Linked DNA regions of Bombyx mori. The protein of the gene in region 2 interacts with the protein of the main gene of each other region in a pairwise test. Links are inferred from orthologs where the notes say so. Each region holds a gene or a part of one and is shown on either strand. Other genes may lie near its edges.

Region 1 (4,072 bases), on a different chromosome or scaffold from region 2:
GCACCGCCCGCCACCGGAGTAGAGTTCATCCATACTACCTGGAGCCACTGCGGTCATCCACAGTGCGTTTCCAGAGATCTTTTTGCCACGTACCATCCGGCTATGGAATGAGCTCCCCTCCACGGTGTTTCCCGAGCGCTATGACATGTCCTTCTTCAAACGAGGCTTGTGGAGAGTATTAAGCGGTAGGCAGCGGCTTGGCTCTGACCTTGGCATTGCTAAAGTCCATGGGCGACGGTAACCACTCACCATCAGGTGGGCCGTATGCTCGTCTGCCTACAAAGGCAATAAAAAAAAATTTAAAAAAAAAGAATCAAATCATGGTGATACTATTAATTTACATTTTTTCTTTCAGATACAATTTACAGATGACATTACTGGATCCAGAAGCTGTCGATCACCCACAACCATGCTCATGTCACATGACTAAATGCATACTGATTAAAGCATTCATGGAGTCCCATTAAACATCAATCTGTTTTTTATAAATTAAATAAAATGAAATCAGAATCATGTATGTTACAAGTTTTATTTTAAAATCATTAATTTATAATACATTTGGCATTCATTACATAAATACACATGGTGACAATAAGGTGTAAGAATTCAATCCATTATAAAACTAAACATCTGATACTTACGCAATTATTTTAAGTTGAAACTTAAAAATATGGGTTCATTCTCTTTAGAAATTAATTCAGATATCAAAATGTTAATGAGTCAAAAGCATAATACTCTATAAAATCATTCGAATTTCTACAATCTAATAAATATCATAAAGCTTGTTAATAACGGATTCTCCAAAAACCGTATCACATGAAAATTTAACCCTCCTACTACCGGGAGGCGTGTTTCCATTTCCGTGTTCACTATGACGCAGTACTGCCATAAACACGCACTGATTTGTCGCGCTAACAGCCTTTACAAACTCTTGTTAAATTCAGAGTGCGCCTCCTCCAATCGCGCACAGGTTTGCAATGCCAAATGCTCTTCTAAACACGTGTTCAAGGCGACACGGGACTAAGCCATGAAGTTCGCGTATGACAATACCTACTTTGTGAAAGAGAAAACTGATCTGTCTGTATGGTGCTGGGGGTCGATTTTTTAAACATATTTGCGCTGTAGAAAGGAAACATGAAACTGTACTTAGGTACCGCATCGCTACATTTAAATGACTATGATCGTCAACAATTTGCGAAATCAGCTCTGGGTGACCAGTTTTCACTGTCATTCCTTAAAGATATTACGGCTGAACCAAGCACAAATAATGAATACAGCCAACTCTGACTCAGATCCAGATAGCTCCATTACACCAAATGTTGCTATACCAGATACTTTTGAACTTCCAATAAATCGAGCTGAAAACGGTATAACTATCAACAATGAAAACTTTGACTGTGCTGTTCAAAATATTAAAGTTCAGTGGCAAAGAATTACTGATATCTTGGAAAATGATTCAAATGCTGCATATACAAACATTCTTACAACTCTTACTTATTCTTACTCCATCGAGTATTATGTCATTTGTAGTTGAAAATTTTTTCGATGAAAATCTCGAAAAATTCATGTACAACCAAAATCGATCGCTCGCCGCAAAGAAAGAGATCTGCTATGCAGTGGAAAAATTCGATTCGAGAACGACCAGCCAAGTCAGAAACTGAAAAGAAAAGGTGTTCATAATATTGTATCTACTCGTAATATTGATAATGAGCCTCCTGCTAAAAAAAAATATTTTATAAAATGACTTCTTTATTTTTGTTTATGTTACTACTTACGTTGATTGCCTACAATACAATACCAAACTTGCCCATTAATTAAAATTCCTTCAAACAAACACGGATTTGTCTCGCTTAATCAATGCGCATACTCCTTGTAAACCCGTGCGCAATTGTTTTTTTTTTCTTCTAACTATGCTGATAGCCTTGAGAGGCTATTTCAGCTTCTCCTTGACGCGTAGGTGAGCTCACGGTGCTCAAACCGGAGTGTTGCTAACACTGGCCCTAGCAAGAGTTTTTTTTTTTCCTACGTAAGCTGGTAGCCTTGAGAGGCTATTCCAGCGTAACCTTAACTAGTAGGTGAGCTCACGGGGCTCAAACCTGACGACGTTGCTAACACGAACCCTAGCAAGAGCCGTGCTTCGCTCAATCTACCACCGGATCGGAAACGCGACCCATTCGACCCACGAGAAGATCCGGCGAGAAACTCGGTGGGCTGTGTCTGAGGGTTAATTTACTCGTCGAGCCCTTCTTCGCAAGCGACGGGTTCCACAAGAACGATGACCGGTGCTTGAGGTACCTAAAAGCACCGTTAGTGGATCGGGAGGATCCGAGATGACGTGCTTGGGGCGACGTTGACTGCTTTCCATTCTCTCCGCAGGATCGGGAATGTAGTTACCGGCGGCCACGATGAGAGGGTTCTCGTGTCGTGCCGCTTTATCGAAGTGGTAGCAAGAGCAGTGCCTCGCAGAATCTACTACCGGATCGGAAACGCGACTCACTGAGAAGATCCGGCGAGAAACTCAGTGGCATGTGTCTATGGGTTAATTTACTCGTACTTGCAACGAAGGGCTCTCCGTTCGTCGCAAGCGACGGGTTCGGCGAGGACGTTGACCGGTGCTTGTAGTATGTACCTAAAAGCACCGTTAATGGGTCGGGAGGATCCGTAATGACGTGTTTAGAGCGACGTCGACTGTTTACCATTACCATACCTAAACACGTAATTACGAATCCTTCAGGACGGGCGCTTTAAATTGAACACGGATTTGTCAGGGCGGTTAGCGCGATAAACCCGTGCGTCTTTCATGGCAGTACTGTCTCATAGTGAACACGGAAATGGGAATACGCTACCGGGAGTCATCTTTGTGGAATATTGGAGATAAACCCTTATGTAAAAAAACCTCTACTCTTTCGTTTGATAGGTAAACCGATTTCTCACTTATAAAGAAATGCTCACCGTGACATGCGAAATAGATACTGTATTAACCTCACCTTGTTTTCTTTATAATAAAACACTAAGTTTTCTTAACTCCTGCTAAAACAAGTGAAGCACGAATGAGTTTAAAAAAAGCTCTAAGAGGTAAAGAGTTAACGAAAAACTGCAAACGAATCCAACTAAACTTACCGTTCCGATGTTGAGAGTGGTGAGTAAACCCTCATCAGTATCTTAACATGTTCGTTACAGATTGCGTTAACTGCGCCTCTCTACTGAGCCACCGGTTGTAGTCGAGTCTCATCAGAAGTCTCGCTAAGTAAACGCCGCACGGACGATCTCGTAGCGAAACTAGAAGTTGCATTAGTTGCTTCACTAATTTGTTGAACCTAGAAAGTATATTAATTAAGGATCGCGGCACTGAGACGTGGTCGCTCACAATAGGCCCTATGAGAAGGCTCAAGGTCACCCAAAGAGCAATGGAGAGGGCTCTATGCTCGGAATTTCCCCGGATCAAATCAGAAATGAGGAGATTTGCTGGAAAACCATGGTAACCGACATAGGCCAAAGGATTGCGAAATTGAAGTGGCAGTGGGCAGGACACATTGCTCGTAGAACGGATGGCCGTTGGGGCCAGAACGAACTCTGTCTCCTGGTTATCTGGACGTCGACAAATTAGGACTTGAAGGTCGCCACCCGTCCTAAGGCATGAGGTCGAAGCCTCAAATGTATAGCGCATGTCCCACCCTTCGAATCGGAGCGCATGACGGTTACGTGGCAAAAACAGGAAGAATTGTTTTGAATTGTTGTGAAATGCACACTGAAATTTTACTGTGGACAAAATACATGCATGCCTTTTTTTCTTCAATTTTGTCTATGTACACTATTCTAATCTAATCTATACTAATATTATAAAGCTGAAGAGTTTGTTTATTTGAACGTGCTAATCTCGGGAACTACTGGTTCGATTTGAAAAATTCTTTCAGTTTTAGATAGCCCATTTATCGAGGAAGGCTATATAACAGCACACTAAGACTAATACAAGCGGAGCACCAATGCAGAAACGGTTAAAGTTTCGCTAAAATAATGTATGACAGAATTGTTCCCCTTTAAAAGATCTAAAAAAAAAAGCCCGCAACAGCAT
Region 2 (3,826 bases):
AACTATGTAGTTTTATTTATGTTGAATAATTTTTTTTTTATTTGATTTGATTTGAACGACCCACTTTTTTTTCGGGCAGGGTTCGAACCTCCTATGAGGTCTAGGAGGTATGTGGAACTTGACGGTCTGCAGATGTTGAGAGCAGACCGCGGGCCCAATGATGTTTTAGGGCCCTACCCATCAAACGACTCTCGTTGCACTCTCTCACCCGACGTCCGATCTCAGCCCGAGTTTAGAACCCAGGCAGAGTAGGAGGGTTCCCGCGGTCATCACTACAACCAGACTCGCGGCGTCACCCCTAGGACGCTCGATCGACGGGTCGGAATATTCAAAGACTCTACGTCGGCCGTCTCGGTACGGCAGCCGGACAGGCCGCTCCAGGCGATGCCGCTGGTGTTCCGGAATACCCAAGTGATCACCTGAGCTCATAGACGTCACAAGGAGCATGTCGCCACCCACTTAAGCTTTGAGACATGAGTTCTAACCACCAGAGTCCGCGGTTCTACGGTATATACGTCCAGCTAACTGCTACTTCAATTTCCCTTCTTTTCTTATATAATCAATAAATTGTAAATGCTTATAAAATTTTAAAAATATACGTTTATATATATATAGGGCGGCGGAATAACGAGAAATGGATATCACTTTATTTTTTTTTTATTTTTTACACAAAAAACAACAACATAATCACTTTTACATCTATCACCAAACACACTAATCTCCTTTTTTTCTGACTACCTACTAATTTTGAATGCCAATCTACAATTTTGGGTTGCCAGAATTTAAATTAAATTAAATTCTAAAAAAATACTCCACACGGCCGTCCTGGTTAATCATCTGACCCAGATGAATAATTTTCTTCAAACAAATGTTAAAAAGTGAGTTCGCTGTACCTGAAATCGAAACAGTTCTCCGCTCCTAACGTTGTTATCAACAGTGCCACCGAAGATGTACAAGGCGTCGCCCACGACAGCGCCCGCGTGGAACAGTCGCCCTGATGGTACTTGCGAATCGGGAGCCGGATTTACAACTGACCTGGTAATGTATTCAGTTATATTTACTAACGAAGAAATAGAGGTCACGGACTGCTATGGATATATCAATGCGGGACCACGTCACTGGACATCACTGTTAAAATTATCATTGCAACCGCAGCGTGCGTAAGACCAACAGTGCCAAATTTAAAACAAAGGTAATTTCTTGGAACCTGTAGCAGTGAGATGGTGATAGACATTGAAATAATTTTATGACTAATTGGTTCCCTGTCTGTGGAACCGTAAATTACTCATTAATTGAAGTAATTTACGTGAAAATGACTGATATTACTGAGATGCCTTAGATTGATTATGATATTTCAAGCGGTATTCAGCATCGGAATTGATTGTTAGTAAATATAAATTGACTTCCAAAATATTGGGGTCTTCAAGGTACAGCTTTGATCGCAAGTGGAGTACAAGTGTCACATCTGAATCTTTCGTTTTTTTTATTATTTAAGTATGGTAATTATTTTTTGCAATACCATTGTTGCCAGTTTCGAGTTTAAAAAATCTTCAATGATTAAATACATACATATTCTGTTATATGAAAAATTATATGAAGAGAAATGTTAGAAAATGAAATAAAGTCTGGTTGTTTACTGAGGCTTTTTCAGTGAACTTTTTTGGTGAACTCGAGAAGCTGTAGCCAAGAGGTTTGTTTCATTTTTACAGATACTAAATTTTATTACATATTTAAACCTGAAAACATACTCAAAATTAACACACGAATTAACATTCGACCCAACTTCACTCCTTGCGTTCCCGCCAAAGAGTCCATCTGAATTTTTAAAAGATATGCAAAGGTTTGTCTATTGCCTGGCATATAATTTAACACGTTGACTGCCATGTAGGTCACCGGTGTCCTACGCAGCCCACTAAAGTAATGTCGATTTTTGTTACTAAAGCGCCTGGATTGCCTAACTTTGCCTCCTTTTGTTTGTTAATGTATCTTCGGATTTGTCTCTCATAGAGTCTACTAGATATTCCAGTGCCTTGGTAAGAAGATCCAAGAGGGAAATCGACTTAATTACTTCACTTGACTACATGGCAGTAAATGTGTTAATCAGCAAATACAATCGTTGTTCTGATACAATACGGATGGGACTTACCAAATCTGCGTATCGAGATCGTAACAGTGCAAATCGGCGGGCAACGTGTTATCGGCTGCCCCCCCAAACACGTACAGATGTCGCCCGTGCGCCGCCATTACGTGCCCGTAGCGCCGCGCCGGGGCCGGCCCCGCACACCTCAGCAGATGCTCCGTACACACCCTGGTCCAACTAAAAAATCGTACAAATTTTATTAGCAGCAAAGACACGTGCGTAATGTTGAATAGACTTCGAATGAAAAAAGTTTTTTTTTGGCTTAGATGGTTGGACGGGCTGTGAGCTGGTGTTAAGTGGTTACTGGAACCCATAGACATCTACAACGTAAATGCGCCACCCACCTTGAGATATAAGTTCTAAGGTCTCAAGTATAGTTACAACGGCTGCCCCGCCCTTCAAACCGAAACGCATTACTGCTTCACGGCAGAAATAGGCAGGGTGGTGGTACCTACCCGCGCGGACTCACAAGAGGTCCTACCACCAGTCAGAATTATTGGTTTTCTTAATCCGTATGGACACATTGGTGTCAACGATTGGTGGGTTTGGCCATTAGTTAACAAATGCTTTGTTAATGACGTTCGTAATAACTTTCATGGTATTGGGATTTAAGCAACTTTTTATCTGTGTAGACTTATAAAAAAAAAAAAGGATTGTAGGTGCTCAAAGGTCCAAGTCATTCTTTTAAGCTGGCCTTAGTATTTGAGTTGCTACTATTAGACAGAATACGTTCACTTTTATATCAGTACAATCAACAGTCAAAGTTTACTGACAAGTAGTGCCATAGTGTTTTTAGTCGGACTTCATCAAATTTGAAAAAAATATTGCATTATGATACGGGGTCACAGCTTATATGGGCTACTGAAGTCATTAAGCATCACAACGTGGAAGCTGCTACCCAACTTGAAAAAGGGGTCTAAGTCTCAATTATATTACGTAACGGCGGTCCCGCCTGAAAAACCAGAATGTATCATTGCTTATAATATGCAATATGGCACATCACCAACCACTAAACTATTATAGTATTATAGTTTTTGCCCGCGACTCCGTCAGCGTGGAATAGTTACTTTGGCATAATGCTAAATTTTACCCCCTACTTCATTTGCGTAGAAAGTGAAAATATTTTTGAATTATAGAATGTTAAGGAGCTATTTAAACCGCTATTTTGAAACATTATATATTGGTGCTCCACTTGTATTGGTCTTACCGTGATGTTATATAGCCTATAGCCTTCCTCAATAAATGGGCTATCTAACACTGAAATAATTTATCAAATCGGATCAGTTGTTCCTGAGATTTGCACGTTCAAACAAACAAACAAACTCTTCAGCTTTATAATATTAGTATAGATATAGTGTTATTAAAATACTATGGGCTATGTAATAAAAAAAATTGCATTTTAAATTTAACTTACATGCGACTTTCAAAGTCGAATTGGAAAAGGGCATTGGTAATCTTAGCACCACTTTGTCCGCTGAATACAAACATCTTCCCTCGAGCAACAGCCACAGGAAAGTTGCAACATGTAGGAGGGCATTCACCTTTCTGTTCTACTTTTTCCCATTGATGAGTTTCTCCCTAGACATGAATCAACTGTGAATACATTCAACCAATCATTTGCATCATTGAACATTGCCATAGAAATTCATGATTTGAATTTCCAAATTTTTATATTCTTTTGTTATT

Evidence for each region.
Region 1: the proteins of leucine-zipper-like transcriptional regulator 1 (region 2) and gamma-tubulin complex component 4 interact in binary tests that used the Homo sapiens proteins (3 or more experiments, as listed by UniProt). The link is inferred for Bombyx mori from reciprocal best matches to the Homo sapiens genes LZTR1 and TUBGCP4.

The regions. Positions count from the first base shown.
Region 1 is NC_085125.1:5,636,317-5,640,388, reverse strand, and holds the end of gamma-tubulin complex component 4, read right to left. Parts: intron 3,318-4,072; coding exon 3,155-3,317; 3' UTR 3,121-3,154; intron 3,031-3,120; exon of another isoform or gene 1,749-3,030; intron 1,658-1,748; 3' UTR 514-1,657; downstream 1-513. Other genes in the region: uncharacterized protein LOC101745013, read left to right, coding at 356-467. UniProt on the Homo sapiens protein: Component of the gamma-tubulin ring complex (gTuRC) which mediates microtubule nucleation.
Region 2 is NC_085122.1:8,838,501-8,842,326, forward strand, and holds part of leucine-zipper-like transcriptional regulator 1, read right to left. Parts: intron 3,719-3,826; coding exon 3,555-3,718; intron 2,318-3,554; coding exon 2,147-2,317; intron 1,036-2,146; coding exon 894-1,035; intron 1-893. UniProt on the Homo sapiens protein: Substrate-specific adapter of a BCR (BTB-CUL3-RBX1) E3 ubiquitin-protein ligase complex that mediates ubiquitination of Ras (K-Ras/KRAS, N-Ras/NRAS and H-Ras/HRAS).